Arabidopsis thaliana: one gene and its partner. The protein of the gene in region 1 interacts with the protein of each later gene in a pairwise test. Each region holds a gene or a part of one and is shown in the gene's direction. Other genes may lie near its edges.

What was found.
Region 2: the proteins of ANN6 (region 1) and FRO2 interact in a protein complementation assay, tested with the Arabidopsis thaliana proteins (one large-scale study listed by BioGRID).

What each region holds. Positions count from the first base shown.
Region 1 is NC_003076.8:3,204,417-3,212,523, reverse strand, and holds ANN6 (annexin 6), read left to right. Parts: upstream 1-3,693; 5' UTR 3,694-3,739; coding exon 3,740-3,815; intron 3,816-4,497; coding exon 4,498-4,643; intron 4,644-4,718; coding exon 4,719-4,937; intron 4,938-5,028; coding exon 5,029-5,544; 3' UTR 5,545-5,656; downstream 5,657-8,107. Other genes in the region: ANNAT7 (annexin 7), read left to right, coding at 1,128-1,203, 1,603-1,748, 1,846-2,064, 2,277-2,786; AT5G10210 (nitric oxide synthase-interacting protein), read right to left, coding at 5,695-6,288.
Region 2 is NC_003070.9:205,684-216,019, forward strand, and holds FRO2 (ferric reduction oxidase 2), read left to right. Parts: upstream 1-3,311; 5' UTR 3,312-3,477; coding exon 3,478-3,925; intron 3,926-4,080; coding exon 4,081-4,183; intron 4,184-4,266; coding exon 4,267-4,461; intron 4,462-4,701; coding exon 4,702-4,936; intron 4,937-5,368; coding exon 5,369-5,696; intron 5,697-5,790; coding exon 5,791-6,034; intron 6,035-6,171; coding exon 6,172-6,890; intron 6,891-6,987; coding exon 6,988-7,127; 3' UTR 7,128-7,399; downstream 7,400-10,336. Other genes in the region: AT1G01570 (transferring glycosyl group transferase (DUF604)), read left to right, coding at 1-266, 1,009-1,560, 1,642-1,752; FRO1 (ferric reduction oxidase 1), read left to right, coding at 8,546-8,723, 8,797-8,899, 9,014-9,214, 9,634-9,871, 9,950-10,277. UniProt on the Arabidopsis thaliana protein: Flavocytochrome that transfers electrons across the plasma membrane to reduce ferric iron chelates to form soluble ferrous iron in the rhizosphere. May be involved in the delivery of iron to developing pollen grains. Also acts as a copper-chelate reductase.

The sequences.
Region 1 (8,107 bases):
TTAAACGGATCTTTATAGAAGAAAACTGGCGTTGGCTATTGTGGGAATAGTACCTTTCTATTAAAGTTATATTGTTTAAGTGTTCTACTATCATCACAAGGACTCTGTGGCCCAATGGATAAGGCGCTGGTCTACGAAACCAGAGATTCTGGGTTCGATCCCCAGCAGAGTCGTTGTTCTTTTATTTAATCTTCCTTTTAATTTTTTTCGCGCCAGATCTGTTTTTACGGTCTAATGAAAATTTGAAATTCATTACAATTCTTATAACTTTCTTGTGGGTTGTTTATCCATAACATATTTTATAACATATAAACTACACCAATTAGATATTTGACGTTACGATTCTTTTAATTAGTCGATAATCAGTATTTGGTTGCCAATAAAATAACTGCTCCTTAAACGTTAAGCTTAGCACTAACCACGTGATTCTTGGAGTTAAACAAGAACAAATGACATAAGCAATGAAAATCTTGTTTTGTCTCCGGAAAATTCCTATAATTATAAACTTGTCACATGGACCTTTAAAGGTCTATTTAATATATAGCTTAAAATAATTAATTATTGAGTAATCAAATTTTTAAAAAAATCTAATCAAAGTTTTTTTCCAAAAAAAAAATTAAAACAACAATATTATGTTAATAAATATAAATCATAGATATCCACTAAACATAATTATAAAAGTAAAAAAAAAAAAAGTTGTGTATACTCTTCATATGTCAAGGCCAAACTCAAACGTGTCATTCACAATCAAAATCATAAGTTTCTGTCCCACTCTATATATATAAATACTTCCCTTGAAATTTATTCAACTTAATTAAATTCATTTTCTGCCAGCTATCTTGATTTCTTTCCTTTTAACTAAAATAGATAGGCTTTTAATACTTCACTTATATAGTCAACAAATTTACTATTCAATAATATTTTCAGTTGATTTACTACCTTTTCCATTCATTTAATTCATTAAAAATTACTAAGTCTCTTTATCAAAATACATCTTTATACAAAAACTTTTTTATTGAAACTTTAATTGCCATCTCATTATTTAAGTAAGACAACACGAGCTCTATCTACCTCATCATCTAGACAACAAAAAACAAGAACATACAGAAATTTCACTTGTTCGAAAAATGGCTTCTCTCAAAGTTCCCGCCACTGTTCCTCTTCCCGAAGAAGACGCTGAGCAACTCTACAAAGCCTTTAAAGGTTTATGTCCTTCTCTATACCCCTTCATTAATCTTTTGGTTATAACTAGTCTAGCATTCGCCTTCTTCGATTGAATCCTCTATCAGTTTGGTTGGTCATAGCGTAATCTATTTCAACTATACCCTCTTATCTGATCGATCATGTGTCTGTATATATTCGTTGATCTATATAGTATATAGATCTAGTTTGGTTTATGGTATGGATTTATTTAATTTGGTTAAAATTACTCCTATCATCAAAAATAATCTATTAGTATTTAATAGACCTTTCAAAAATTGATGAAACGAGATAAATTTTACTAGAATTATATATCTTTTTCAATCTAATACTGATGAATGATTTCAAACATGATTCTGACTCTATTTTTCTTTAATGTAATTGTGAATTTGTCTAATGCAGGATGGGGAACCAATGAGAGGATGATCATATCAATCTTGGCTCACAGAAATGCAACGCAACGTAGTTTCATTCGTGCCGTTTATGCTGCTAACTACAATAAGGATCTTCTCAAGGAATTAGACAGAGAGCTTTCCGGTGACTTTGAGGTTTTAATTTGAGACAACATCTTTATATATTCGTCTTCTTTTGGTTTTAGTCTACTGATCTGTTTAACTATGTTTTCTTTTTTTGTAAACAAAACAGCGAGCTGTGATGTTGTGGACTTTTGAACCAGCGGAGAGAGATGCTTATTTGGCAAAAGAATCTACCAAAATGTTCACCAAAAACAATTGGGTTCTTGTCGAAATCGCTTGTACTAGATCTGCTCTTGAACTCTTTAATGCCAAGCAAGCATACCAAGCCCGCTACAAGACCTCCCTCGAGGAAGACGTCGCATACCACACATCTGGAGACATTCGAAAGGTATTATATAATTAATTATGTGAAAGTTTCATGAGCTTAATTCCATCTGAGATATCCAATAAAATCAAATGTATCTAGTTCATCTATTTTGTATACTAGATGAAATCTCATATGTTTATTGATGTAATTAAGATTCCTAGCTAACAAACTCAGTTCGTATAACTATGTCAAGAATGCATATAAATTTGTGACATATGTTTTTGTTTATGCAGCTCTTGGTACCTCTTGTGAGCACTTTTAGGTACGATGGAGATGAAGTGAACATGACGTTAGCTAGGTCCGAGGCTAAGATACTTCACGAGAAGATCAAGGAAAAGGCTTATGCTGATGATGATCTCATAAGAATCTTGACAACCAGGAGCAAAGCACAAATCAGCGCAACTCTCAATCACTACAAAAACAATTTCGGAACTTCCATGAGCAAATACCTAAAGGAGGATTCGGAAAACGAATACATTCAATTGCTCAAAGCCGTGATCAAATGCTTGACATATCCAGAGAAGTATTTTGAGAAAGTTCTACGTCAAGCCATCAACAAATTGGGAACAGATGAGTGGGGACTAACGAGAGTGGTCACTACACGAGCAGAGTTTGACATGGAACGGATCAAAGAGGAATATATACGTAGAAACAGTGTTCCTCTTGATCGAGCCATTGCTAAAGACACTCATGGTGACTATGAGGATATACTTCTCGCTCTTCTCGGACATGACCATGCTTGAAATAACATTTGCAAGTTTTGTTTAAGAAAAAAAACTAAATTTTATCGCTTTGTGTTTAATAAAACAGTTGTGGTTGGACTTGCAACTTGGTCATGTTAAGAATTTAGTGTCTTCAGTTTCATTTGTCGTCGATGTTTTCAGTTATTTTTTTTTTTAAATCTAAAAATTATAAAACCATATCAAAAATTATTATTGATCTATTTATAATTAATTTAGTATAAACTAATGAGTTATAATTTTCCCCTTAATTATATGGTTTTAAAATTAAAGCTAAACCCATACTTAATACATCTTGTTAAAATGAACAATATTGGTTCTAATGTTTTGTCCGCCATGTGTTATAATCCATGTCCAAATAATGAAATATCCAAATAATGAAATTAATTAAGGAATATGCGTGTATTATATAACAGAAAAAATAAATAAATTAAAAGTTAAATTTCGGTACCTATGTAATCCCATATTTAAGCTGTTTAAAGTGCATTTAAAATCCAGCTTTATGACAAAAACCCAAAACATGATTCTTGTTTTTTCATTTCTGTTCACTGTATACAGCCTGTAATTGTATTAATAAAATCTCTCATTTTACTAATTTACTTAAATTGTTAAGTCTATTTTAAAACAAAATTGATTAATAATTAACAAAATTTGAGATTTCAGTTCATTATTTAAGAAAATGTGCAATTTCCATTTAATATTCAGCTTTATGACAAAAAAATGCAAAACATTATACTTGTTTTATCAATTCTATCCACTGTAGACAGCCTGTATTAATAATTTTTTCCTCTTTTACTGATTTACATAGATTGCTAAATCTAATTTTTAACAAAAATAATTAATAAAATATAAAAAATTGGGATATCATTTCATTATTTAAGACAGTGTGCATGTTCCTCGTCCCACATTTTCTTCGTCTCATCTAGAGAGCTAGAGAAATATTCAGTGGTCGGAGAATGGCGTCTCTCAAAATTCCAGCAAATATTCCTCTTCCCGAAGAAGACTCCGAGCAGCTCCACAAGGCATTCAAAGGTTTTCATGATCCATCCCTTCATTGTTAGATTGATTTAGTAAAAGTTAAATACTAGGCCTTCACATTCATGCTTTGATTGAATCATTTGCATTTTGATATTATTTAATTGGGTTGATTATCAATAGTTCAATCTATTATCATGACAGGTCTGATCTACTGATCTAGCTTGCTGGTTTGGTTGATGACACGTATATAGGTTTAATTTTAAGAAGTGGATGATAAGTTAGCTCTTTTTTATTTCGTTTTTCAAATGATTCTTAGGAAGTCTTAACTTCGTGAAGTTTTGTGGTTATACTCCATTGCATGATTCTTTTGTTACGGTGCAAAATTGTGTGACATATTATTTACTCTTTTGCTGATTTTGGATGCAATTGATTTTATGTTGGAGCGTTTCCTGACCGTTTGGTTTGTAATCGACGATTAGACAACTCTTTTAAACAGATTAACTTGTTGCTTTCGTAACAATTTTTTTATTCAGATTTAAACCCAAAAAAAAAATTCTAATAATCTTCTAAGATTTTTTCAAGCTTGGTTTTTTTTCTACTAGCGAACATCAGCTTTCTTGTATATTTACAGTTAATTTCTAACTGTCGTAAAATTTTGGTTTGGTTTAGTTAGGTTTTGTTACATACTCTCTATCTGACTAAACTTGGGTTTGAAATTTGTTTTTGTGTGGCGCAGGATGGGGAACTAATGAAGGGATGATCATATCAATTTTGGCTCATAGAAACGCAACGCAACGCAGTTTCATTCGTGCCGTTTATGCTGCTAACTACAATAAGGATCTTCTCAAGGAATTAGACGGAGAGCTTTCTGGTGACTTTGAGGTTTGTCAAAACTAAAAGATACAAAATCTATATTTCTTCATCTTATTTTGAACATCTTACTTTGCTTGAAAACAGAGAGTTGTGATGTTGTGGACTCTTGATCCAACGGAGAGAGATGCGTATTTGGCCAATGAATCTACCAAATTGTTCACCAAAAACATTTGGGTCCTAGTTGAAATCGCTTGTACTAGACCTTCTCTTGAGTTTTTCAAGACCAAGCAAGCATACCATGTTCGCTACAAGACCTCTCTCGAGGAAGATGTTGCATACCATACATCTGGAAATATCCGAAAGGTAGTGAAAGATTTATGTATATCATTCTTTAAACCAATTAGTAAGTTTCTGATGATATGTTGTTTTGTTTTGACCACTTGTAAAAATGCAGCTATTGGTTCCTCTTGTGAGCACCTTCAGGTACGATGGAAATGCTGATGAGGTCAACGTGAAGCTGGCTAGATCCGAAGCTAAGACACTTCACAAGAAGATCACTGAGAAGGCTTACACTGATGAAGATCTCATCAGAATCTTGACAACAAGGAGCAAAGCACAGATCAATGCAACACTCAATCACTTCAAGGACAAGTTTGGAAGTTCCATTAACAAGTTTCTCAAAGAAGATTCGAACGATGATTATGTTCAATTACTCAAAACCGCGATCAAATGCTTGACATATCCAGAGAAGTACTTTGAGAAGGTTCTACGTCGAGCCATCAACAGGATGGGAACAGACGAGTGGGCACTTACTAGAGTGGTCACTACAAGAGCAGAGGTCGACCTGGAGCGGATCAAAGAAGAATACTTACGCAGGAACAGTGTTCCTCTTGATCGAGCCATTGCTAATGACACTTCTGGTGACTACAAGGATATGCTTCTCGCCCTTCTTGGACATGACCATGCTTGAAACAACATCATCGTTTCATAGTCTTTTATAAGACAGTTGTTATTTGTTTTTCATTTTCTTTGAACTTTGGTCCTTAGTTTTTACATTTTACTGCAACAACTTATTCTGGTTTCTTTGAATCATCTCTTCTTTAAATTTTATTCTTACAAACTAAATCCCAGCTAACGCACAAGCTACAACAAAAGCTTCATAATCTACGCAGTTACATGTTCTACAATCTTTACACTCACAAAGATCTTCCACTCTCTTAGTGTTCACGATTTTTGAAGCTTGCACTTTTAAAGCTATCTTCAACAAAAGAGGTTTATGCTTATCACAATCTTCCAGAACGTGATCTTTTGTCTCATCCATCACTACAAATCTCTCTATTTCCATCCCATCAGTCTCTATAACCGATTTCCAAAAAATCTTTCCTCTACCCACCAACTCTGATTTCGACCACTTCTTCAAAAACGGCGTCGTTTTCCTTCTCCGTAGTTCGAAAACAACACTTTGTTGCTTCAATTCCTCGACCGCGGTTTCGTTCCCTTGGCACTCCAGACCGAATGATTGGTTCCAGGAAATGACCTCACAGTCTGATCTCGAACGGATCTCTGGAGTGTTTAGTTCAATCTTACTGTTATTCCCTGCATGGAGATAGAACCTAACGAAGAGAGTGGTTGGCGATGACTTGAGCTCTACGTTTCTAGCTTCCACGATTTTCACTTCAAATTTAAGGGAACGAATGTTTTCAACGATACCCATTTGCTTGAAAATTTCGAATCGAACCAAGAATATATTATTTACCAAGGTAATAACAATTAGAGCAAATTTAAGAGCAGTGAGTTCCTTTGTGATGAATATGTGCATGAACAAATTCTCACTAGCTATTTATATAAATCTATGGGGAATGTTCGAGGAAAGTTTACACTAGATTTCCACATTGTACTTATTAAAATATTCTAAATTTCTAATCATGTTTTTAACTTTTTATTTTTTTCTAATCATGTTAGTGAAGGCTTAATATTTTAGAAATTAAAACTCTTGAGCATCTCAAAAGACCAAGGGTCGATTTTAATAATGACTCTTGCCCATAGTTTTGGGAGATAATTAGATAGATACGTAGGATCACCATATAAAGAATTTTTATAATTTGCAAAAAGAAATTAAGGTGTGCCATTTTGAAGACTTGATCATTATTATATTACATTTCGCGTGGACACATCCAATAGCCGAAAGTTGTTTTGGAACAGAGTCAACAGAATCAAATTAAATAAGAACAAATTATTAGTAGATACATTCGATTGCATATATTAAAATGAGTATGGAATTTGACTCAAAAGATATAATTACAAAAAATATTAGCCACGAATCCCATGATCAATTGTAGTCATACAAGATAGACTTTATTACATAAGAAAATCTCCAAAAAAACTCTTATCACACAATTCATTGTTGACAAAAGTTTTGTATACTAATAATATCATCTATTAAATTTTACAAAAACAATTTTAGTTTCAACTGGTTTTAAATTATAGAAAGAACAAATCATTGCTAATAAGCATAGTCATAAACTCATAATCATGCAGAAATTGTGTTTATTTTGATCATCTCAAGGGTAATGGAAATGTCAATTTAGGTTACTTTCGTTACTATTTACTTTTTTATCAAACACTTTCGTTACTATTTAAAAAAATCTAAATCCTAATACTAACTTACAAAACCCAAATCATTATTTTCTATTACAAAATTTAAAAAATACTTGGAATTTGAAAGAAAAAAACGTTTTTACAATACTTACTTGTAGTGGGTTGCTCATAGTTAACCGAGTGAGTGTTTTCTTACATAATATGAAAGGACAGCATTGTTTTAGTTCATATCATCCGTTGGAGTTATCCAAAGGACAGCATTTTTAAACTTAGTGTACCAATTTAGAAAACGTCACTGCAATTTGCAAAAAGACATCAAAACTAAGAAGATCATCTCAAGAGCCTGACGTAAAAAAAAGGTAAATAGTGGCTTGGTACATATCCTCTTTCCTCCAATCAAATTTCACTCTTGTGTCAATATCGACTATGCATATGATCCTCGGTGGACTAAATGCAGATCTTCCATTTTTCAAAACTTTTACTTTACAATATCGCAATCCAATAAGCTAAGACCCACAAAAATTCTCTATCTTTGTACAAATTTTTTATTACTGTATTAGCTAACGTGCGAATATCCATTTAAAATGTTTTTTAATCTACAATCTCGGCCAATCATTGACCCCCAAAAAAAAATATCTCTCTCAATCACAAATCATTTCTTAATATAAGGAAAAAATATTTTTTTACAAATTGGAACTCCTCTTTGTCTCTGAATAAATACACCACAAAATAAAAATAAATAAAATCACTGAAAAAACAAAACAATTGTTCCTTTCTTCTTTACTCCTTCAAAATGGATAAAATTTTACCACAAATCCTACAATCACACAAAACTAAATAAAGAAACGAAAAAAAAAAAAAAAAGTAAAAGAAAACTTACGATATCCATGAAGCAAGTTTCTTGCTTGTAAAAAAGACTCAAACCCATTCAACGT
Region 2 (10,336 bases), on another chromosome or scaffold:
TCAAGGTTTTGAGAAAGTACGATCACAATCAGTTTTATTACATCGGAAGCTCGTCGGAGAGTCATATACAGAATCTCAAGTTCTCTTACGGGATGGCTTATGGAGGAGGAGGGTTCGCGATTAGCTATCCGTTGGCTAAAGCATTAGAGAAAATGCAAGATCGTTGTATTCAGAGATATTCGGAATTGTACGGCTCCGATGATCGGATTCATGCTTGTATGTCGGAACTCGGTGTTCCTTTGACTAAGGAAGTTGGCTTCCATCAGGTTAGTCCTCTGTTTTTATTTTATTTTCCTTCAATTAAATTTAATTTCCATTTGAAGATTTTTCCTACATTGTCCTTTTTTTGGGTGAAAACTTAAGTTTTATTTCAGTTTTCATAGAGTGTTTTTATTTTAATGTTTGAAGGGTCAAGATCTTAGCTAGGTTTTGTTTAGGAAACAGAATAACTTAAAAATGCATTTATTATTATTTTAGGCAAAGTCTTTAATCAAACTTCCATATTTTTCATTAACTCACTCATATCTTCTAGTAGATACCAAATGCAAAAGCCATTACAAATCATTTATTTTATTAGTGCATTCTGATTTTTTGTTTTTTTTTGTTTTATTAAGACTTATGTATATAACACATCATAATAAAACTGAAAACATTTATGTAATTTTAGTAAAATGTATATTTTGTATGGCGATAATCTCGGCACTCACATAGATCTTAGGTTCACATAAGTCATTGGGATTGTACACTCAAGTCAAATATGTCGTTAGTAGTTTTCGTACGTGTTACTCTTACATTCCTCCGTGCATTCACATTATTCAGTTTGTTATTCCTATGATAGATCTAGGAACACATCCTAACCGAAATCTAAACATAAATCAAACTATTAAGTATCCAATATACATCGATTTTTGAAATCTGTGTCCCCCACTATTTTCTCGATCTATACCTATCGCTTATTAGAAAATCATCCTCGACAATTATTGTTTTGATTTTGTGTTGTTGTATCAGATTGATTTATACGGGAAACTTCTGGGCCTATTATCGGCCCATCCACTGGCTCCTCTAGTATCGATCCACCATTTAGACTTAGTGGATCCAGTATTCCCAAACATGGGCCGAGTCAACGCCATGAGACGTTTCATGGTCCCCGCAAAACTCGACTCACCGAGCCTCGCGCAGCAATCAATCTGCTACGACGCGGACCACCGATGGACCGTGTCTGTCTCGTGGGGATACACAGTCCAGATCATACGTGGCGTGTTGTCAGCTAGAGAGATGGTGATCCCCACGCGCACGTTCATCGATTGGTACAAACAGGCAGACGAAAGAAGCTATGCTTTTAACACGCGTCCTATCGCCAAAAGCGCGTGTCAGCGTCCGCGAGTGTATTACCTGTCCAACGCGCTTCCTGACTTGGCTTTGCGTAGAACTGCTAGTGAATACGTGAGATGGTACGACATGTGGGAGCCTGAATGTGACTGGGATATGTCGGATCCTTCGGAATTTGAACGGGTCATTGTTTATAAGAAACCCGACCCGGATAGATGGAATAAACATAGGGTAAGTAAACAATGTTATCATTTTTAAGTTTTGTTTCTCTATAAGTTTTATTGATTCATAATTTTGTGGTGATAATTTCAGGCTCCGAGAAGAGATTGTTGTAGAGTATTGCCCACGACGAAGAATGGGACTATGGTAATCGATGTAGGAGCTTGTAAAGATGATGAATTTGCTGAATTCCTTGTCAAATAGAATTATTTATCTTTTATAGCGTTTTCTTGTTACCAATCGTATTTTTGAAATTTCGAGCTTATGTTTTAACAGCAATTTCGAGCTTGTAAATTATTTCTTAAAACTTTTTTTAATCTTTATTGACCTCTAGGAGGACTATTATTAATGAGTTTATTATAGCCGAAAGATGTTTTGGGGTAGTGGGCTTAGCCCATTAATATATTGACGATTTAAAATGTAAATATATTCGATGCTAAAAGGACCGAATGTACATTATCGAATAAAACAAAAAAAAAAATATAAACATGTAAAGTCAAAACTTAAGTGTGATGAATGTAATGATGATGAGGAAGAAAGAAGATGAATGGGAATGGGCCTGATTCATCTTTTCCTCGTTGGCTTTAAAATTGACATATTTTGTTGACACGCGTGAGATTTCGTAGACGGAGGCGACACTGACACACATAAGCCGACATCTGACACGTGTATTTTACACACGTACGTAATACGGTCACGAACCGGCGAACCTACCAAAACCGAACACGAACCAGATTCCTTACAACCATCCAATTTGGGAGGTCTCATATCTTCTTCAACCCGTACGTCGTCGCTTTTTCTTTGTCTTAGAGCAAGCGTTTTAATTATTATTGCGTCATTAATAGGAATATATTTTGTATGACTCTTGTTGCTAATGTTAGGGAATTTTATTGGCTTGAATTTGATATTGAATAATGATTTTATTTTATTTATATAAAACAATATGTTGTTTGTTTAATGATATCTAAATTTAATATGTTAGCGTTACTCAATATTTTATTTAATTTTATATGGTTTTTTACACGGATTTTAATTCATCTTTGATTGAAATTTTAACAAATGTCAATCAGTTTTCAAACTAATAATGCAAAAGCTTAAATGTGAAAGTAATTTTTTTTTTGGACAAATGCTTTAAATATTATAGGTAAATTCTATATGTTTGATTTTAAAGTTAATAAATTCTATATTCAAAAAAAAAATCCTTATAAATTATAAAGTACACCACCAATAACCTCTTTAAGTTAACTATTATAGTATTATGTTTAGAATGTAGTTGGACATGTTTTATCCGATTAATACCAATTAGAATAGTTAATTATCAAGTACACGCTATGAGCCTATGAGCAAGAGAAGGCAGCATGGTCCTTGGCCTCTTTCTCAAGTCAAAATGTATTTTAATAATCATACATGCTGTAAACTTCAAATTCCTACTTTTTCAGAGTAAACAAAAAAAAATCAGAAATCGTAAACATATCCCCATCCCTGAATACTTAACCGTTTGACATTGAGAGTACACGTACAGGAATATCTAGATTGATTAGGTATATATAATATTTTGTATTAATAATTTAAAAAAAAAAGTAATTATCATTACCAGAACTAGCTAGTTGACATCTCACTACTTATGAGTATTTTCTAAACGCAAAAGATTATGTTAGGTGAGTTACGTGAGTAGTGCGCAGTAATGCAATTTGGTTAACGCTGTTCAATACAAATTTGAAACTAGTTGAATCCAGCAAAAAAAAAAAAAAAATTGGCTTCCAAAATATTGTTACCATAAATTCATAAACTTTCGTTAAACTTAAAGTGATTTATACACATAGTATATTCAAATATCGATAAATGTATTTTGCTAATCAAATCGTATATTCTTTTATACCAGTTTTTTAACGTCATCTCGCCAAAACAACAACAAATAGATGTAAAATAATGAAAGAAAACAAAAAACAAGATCCATGGGGAAGAGTCACATGCATGGAGCATGCAACTAGCTTACTTCATCCAATTCCCACTCAAAATTCTCTCTTTATATATACACTTTCTCTACCACTACTTCCCTCAAAACAAGCTAACTCGATCCTTCTCACTAAAGCGATCGTACCGATCTTAATATCTTTAGCGAGCGAGAGAGAGAGAGATAGAAATCCTGAGAGGAAAGAGAGGATGGAGATCGAAAAAAGCAATAACGGTGGTTCGAACCCATCTGCAGGAGAAGAATTTAAGGATATGATTAAGGGAGTGACTAAGTTCTTGATGATGGTGATTTTCCTTGGAACCATCATGCTTTGGATCATGATGCCAACACTAACCTATCGAACCAAGTGGTTGCCACATCTGCGTATCAAGTTTGGAACATCCACTTATTTTGGTGCCACAGGTAACTGAATGATCAATAATTCCCATTTTTTAACTGAATCATAAATCATGTTGACGCAATAGTTTCCAAATTTTAACGCATCTTTTTTTCATCAGCCCACGCAATTTGATTTAAAATAAAATACTAAAATTCATTTTTCTTGGTTTGCACGGCAGGGACGACGCTTTTCATGTATATGTTCCCAATGATGGTCGTAGCTTGTTTGGGATGTGTCTATCTTCACTTCAAGAATCGAAAGTCGCCACACCATATCGATAGGTACAAATTAATCAGTCAACTTTTAGGTATATAAACTGCATCACTTTCTTTGATTACAACTTGTTGCTCTTAATCGGAAAAAGGGAGACGAAGGGAGGAGTGTGGAGTAAACTAAGAAAGCCAATGTTAGTGAAGGGGCCATTAGGAATAGTCTCAGTGACTGAGATCACCTTCTTGGCGATGTTTGTGGCTCTTCTTCTCTGGTGCTTTATCACTTATTTGCGCAATAGCTTCGCCACTATCACTCCTAAATCAGCTGCCGCACATGACGAATCTTTGTAAGCTTTTCTTTTTCTTCTTTCGCCGTCTAAAATATATAATTAGTCCACTAATTTCGCTTTGTTAGTCGAAATTATGGATCAGGTTCATATACTTCAAGATTAATTAATCAGTCCATCAACAGTAGATTCTGTGCTTGATTTCTTTTTAAAATCTCCTGACAAATTATTAATAAAAAGGAACAATTTTCTTTGTAAAATACTTAACATAGTTAATCGGTTGATCACATATGAATTAAGGTGGCAAGCGAAGCTGGAATCAGCGGCGCTAAGGTTAGGACTGATCGGAAACATATGTTTGGCGTTCTTGTTCTTACCGGTGGCTCGTGGGTCATCGTTGCTACCGGCAATGGGATTAACCTCGGAGTCAAGCATCAAATACCATATATGGCTCGGCCACATGGTCATGGCCCTTTTCACCGTTCATGGTCTTTGTTACATAATTTACTGGGCCTCAATGCATGAAATCTCCCAGGTATTATTTTTGTTTTTTGTTTTATCGAAGATTTTAAAGCGGTACGTATATTATATGTGGCCTAAAATAGTCCACTAGTGGGCCCTATGAAAAAGTCAACGACTTTAAAGTAGTCACTCTGAATGGAGCAGCTTCCATACCAAGGAATGCGGTCAAATTTATCATTTTGGGTCTTCGTATGGCATACAAGTGTAGTGTAGATATCGCTATTAATTTTGTTGCACCGAAAAGAAAATTATCGAATCACGCATTTTAAGGTGGTAATTATTTGGATAAATGTTCCTTTTCTCTTTTAAAAAATCGTGTACTCCAAAATTGACGACTCGTACTCCAATAAATTATTTAATGTGATAGCTTCATACTAGGGGTACAAGAATCGTAATTTAAACGGTATAGTATATTATAATCTGACGTGGAATAAATTAATGGCAGATGATCATGTGGGATACGAAAGGTGTCTCAAATTTGGCCGGAGAGATAGCTCTGGCGGCCGGACTTGTGATGTGGGCCACCACATATCCGAAGATAAGGAGAAGATTCTTCGAAGTCTTCTTCTACACTCACTATCTCTACATCGTCTTCATGCTCTTCTTTGTCCTCCACGTCGGCATAAGTTTCTCCTTCATCGCTCTCCCTGGTTTCTACATCTTCTTAGTCGATCGTTTCCTTCGGTTTCTTCAGTCACGTGAAAATGTTCGCTTGCTCGCTGCTCGGATTCTTCCTTCCGACACTATGGAGCTCACTTTCTCCAAAAACTCTAGTGAGTACCTTTTGTCCAATTGGCTAATTGTATATGAAAAGTTCACCCTTACTGGATATTGATCTAATTCTAAACTATTCTTTTTGTTTTATAGAGTTGGTTTATAGCCCGACGAGCATAATGTTTGTGAACATACCGAGCATTTCAAAGCTGCAATGGCATCCGTTTACGATAACTTCCAGTAGCAAACTCGAACCAGAGAAGCTAAGTATTGTTATCAAGAAAGAAGGCAAATGGTCAACTAAGCTTCACCAGAGGCTTTCTTCTTCTGATCAGATCGACCGACTTGCTGTTTCTGTAGAAGGTCCTTACGGCCCTGCTTCCGCCGATTTCTTAAGGTGATTTGTTTATATACACTTTCTCAATCACCTATCTAATAACTTTATATTCAGATTTGTTAAGAGTCCTGGAAACTTGATTGACTTGCATTTCAAGAAACATTGATTTCATACTTTTTTTTTTTTTTGCTTTCTAGGCATGAAGCTTTGGTTATGGTGTGCGGAGGAAGCGGGATAACTCCGTTTATCTCTGTTATTCGTGATTTGATCGCCACAAGCCAAAAGGAAACATGCAAAATCCCAAAAATAACTCTCATTTGTGCGTTTAAGAAGTCTTCAGAGATCTCCATGCTCGATCTTGTCTTGCCATTATCCGGTCTTGAGACTGAACTATCCTCCGACATTAACATCAAAATCGAAGCCTTCATAACCCGAGATAATGATGCAGGAGATGAAGCAAAAGCTGGGAAAATCAAAACTCTCTGGTTCAAACCAAGTCTTTCAGACCAATCCATCTCATCAATCCTCGGACCAAACTCATGGCTTTGGCTCGGTGCAATTCTCGCATCTTCGTTCTTGATCTTCATGATAATTATTGGTATCATCACTAGGTATTACATTTACCCGATCGACCACAACACCAACAAGATCTATTCTTTGACTTCAAAAACCATCATATATATCTTGGTCATCTCCGTGAGCATAATGGCGACTTGTAGTGCGGCTATGTTGTGGAACAAGAAGAAGTATGGTAAAGTTGAAAGTAAACAGGTCCAAAACGTCGACCGTCCATCTCCAACATCTTCTCCTACCTCATCATGGGGTTACAATTCCTTGAGAGAAATCGAAAGTACGCCACAAGAATCGCTCGTGCAACGCACCAATCTGCATTTTGGAGAAAGACCTAATCTCAAGAGTAATATATACATGACCTTCTTTTAATTTCTCTATCTCTATCTTATATATAAGGAATTGTTATTCTAATTATGTTTTTTGTTGGTTTATATGAGCAGAACTTCTACTTGATGTGGAAGGTTCGAGTGTGGGAGTTCTTGTTTGTGGTCCTAAGAAGATGAGACAAAAGGTTGCGGAAATATGTTCCTCTGGTTTGGCTGAGAATCTTCATTTTGAATCTATCAGTTTCAGCTGGTGATTGCGTATATAACTCTGTTTTCACTATGTGTTGTGCAATTTGCTTGAGTTGCAAGTTAATAAGGTGGCCCTGTGATTTGACCTATCTTTGTGTGCTTTACATTGACTTTTCCTGTTTTTTGTTTTTCTTTATCCTCTTCTAGGAATATTCAGTGTTAAAAAAAAAACTTCCTTTCAAAAGTTCCGGAATATCCTTTTTTTGTTTGTAACACAAGGCATACAGCTTTTGTAAATTGTAAATGTTGAAATATAATACTCATGTTGGGTCATATATATGATTTTATCTCTATTTTTCAGTTAAACATACTTACGAAAAAGTCAATTTGCTCGAAACGAGTTGGGTTATACACAGATGTGAGCTACATGTAAATTAATATTTGGATCTATCAGAATTTATCTGTCAAATACAGAAATACTATCTTGCAGATAGCACAAATTACCTAATTGTTGGTTAAAAAGACAAGAAGAAGTTACGTGAACATAAAAAAAAAAAACCGTTTCAATTGACATGTCACTAATTATTCGATTTAAGTAAGAGGAAGTACAAGAACAAATTAAAGAACTCACCTATATATACATCCGTTTATTTAAAATCTGTGTTATTGTGTAACTCTGCTACAATTTAGTGGGTAACTAACAAAAAATATCATGGTTAAATTTGGTGTTCTGAGGAAATTTAATGTAAAATTCATAAATTTACGTGTGATTTTTTGATAATTGATTATTCAAAACTCAGTACAAGGAATAAAATCGAAAAAGAAAAAAAAACGAAAAGATAATAGAAATATACGTCTACACGCATCGGCGTACAAACTCAATGATTCTGCTTTCCGTTGAATTTGCTAATTTTAAGCCCAAAACTATAGAATTGCGTTTTCAATGTGAAATGAGGAAATTACACACTTTACCTAGACTCTTCCACGAGTCAAGCCTGTTTTGTAAGTCAGCAGTAAAATGAAGCTGTAAATCACAAATTAATTATAAAAAGATTCAATTATAATTTCTCTGGATAATATTATTATTTTAAAATAATAATAAAATAATTTCTTATTGGTTTATTCACCAGACCATATTTTCATATAAATTTAATTATTATTTTAAGAAAATAATATTATGCATAGAAAAATGACTTAAATATCATTTCTTTTATATAAGAGTATATTATTTTATATATATACTCTATATCTTTAAACATCTCAAGTTCTCAACATATTTAATTATTGGATCTTTTCTGCATTTAGCATAAAACTACTAATTACATTGGTGTAATTAGCATATATATATGCTGGAAAAAAATATCTTTCTATATATATGCTGGAAACAAATATAGCACATATATATGGGTTTTGTAAAATTCATTGCAAACTCCATTTCGCTTTGTTTTTTCTTCTCATTTCTTGGAAGTTCATCTCTGGTGCCATGGGAGTAGGAGAAATGAATAAGGAAGTGATTGATAAGGTGATTAAGTTCTTGATGATGGTGATTTTGATGGGGACTATAGTGATCTGGATTATGATGCCAACTTCTACCTACAAGGAAATCTGGTTAACCTCTATGCGTGCCAAGCTCGGCAAATCGATATACTATGGGAGACCAGGTAATTTCACTCGATACAGATCTAAAATTATTTATACGAATCCGTTACATATAATGGTTTTCTTATATTATAGGAGTGAATCTTTTGGTTTACATGTTCCCGATGATTCTACTGGCTTTTCTGGGATGTATCTACCTTCACTTGAAGAAATCAACAACTGTTAATCAATTTAACAGGTAATTAAAAGCTAACGACTGCTCACTCTTTAGTTAACAGCTTTTAGTTTTTTTTGTTAATATAGATTCTTTTTATTAGTTTATTTTATTTTCATTTTTTTGTAAAATTTAAAGCGGAGTGGAGAAGAAGAGAGCCAAGTTTGGTGCATTGAGAAGACCAATGTTAGTGAACGGACCGTTAGGAATAGTGACAGTAACTGAGGTTATGTTCTTGACGATGTTCATGGCTCTTCTTCTTTGGAGCTTAGCTAATTACATGTACAGGACGTTTGTCAACGTCACTTCTGAATCAGCAGCAACTGACGGAAATAACCTGTAAGTTTTAATTTATATAATGAGTTTTGTGCATGAACATAATTATTTTGTACGTATATGTAAATTCTTCATATTTAGTGATCAATCTAGATTCAATCCTATTTGCAGGGAATATTTTCTTTCCTGATAATATTGTGAGATATATGATGAAAATAAGAGTATAAATGAACTTTTCTATTTTTCACTGATATAATGATGCATCTTAAATTTATTGGGAAATTCTCATAAATTAATTTTTTCTTATAAGTTTTTTTAATTGATTGACCCATAATTTTCATAATCACTCATATCATATCTTTAACAATATGTCCTTTTTATAAACAACTTTTGCAAAATGACATTGACATGTACCATTAGTTAAGCTATGTGACAAAACAAGTTTGGCTTTTTGTGTTTGTTTTATGGCAAAACTAAAAAAGATGGCAAGCGAGGCTGGATTTAATAGCAGTACGGATAGGTATAGTAGGGAACATATGCTTGGCGTTCTTGTTCTATCCAGTGGCTCGTGGCTCGTCGTTGCTGGCTGCAGTGGGGCTTACGTCTGAGTCAAGCATCAAGTACCATATATGGTTGGGGCACTTGGTCATGATCATATTCACCAGCCATGGTCTTTGTTACTTTATCTATTGGATATCCAAGAATCAATTAGTCTCAAAGGTCACTCTTTTTCTTTTTTACATTATTCGTCGATATTGCTCTATAATTAATGCCCTAATTAATCGTTCGTGTAAATAGATGTTGGAGTGGGATAGGACCGCTGTCTCGAATTTAGCCGGAGAGATAGCTCTGGTGGCTGGACTTATGATGTGGGTCACCACATATCCTAAGATAAGGAGGAGATTGTTCGAAGTCTTCTTCTATAGTCATTATCTCTATATCGTCTTCATGCTCTTCTTCGTCTTCCACGTCGGCATCTCTCATGCGTTGATCCCTTTACCCGGTTTCTACATCTTCCTCGTCGATCGTTTCTTGAGATTTCTCCAGTCACGCAACAATGTCAAGCTAGTCTCTGCTCGTGTTCTTCCTTGTGACACCGTTGAGCTCAATTTCTCCAAAAACCCTAGTAAGTTTAACTATGTCCCCTCTGTTTTTTTCTTCTTCACTTGATCGATGATTTTATAA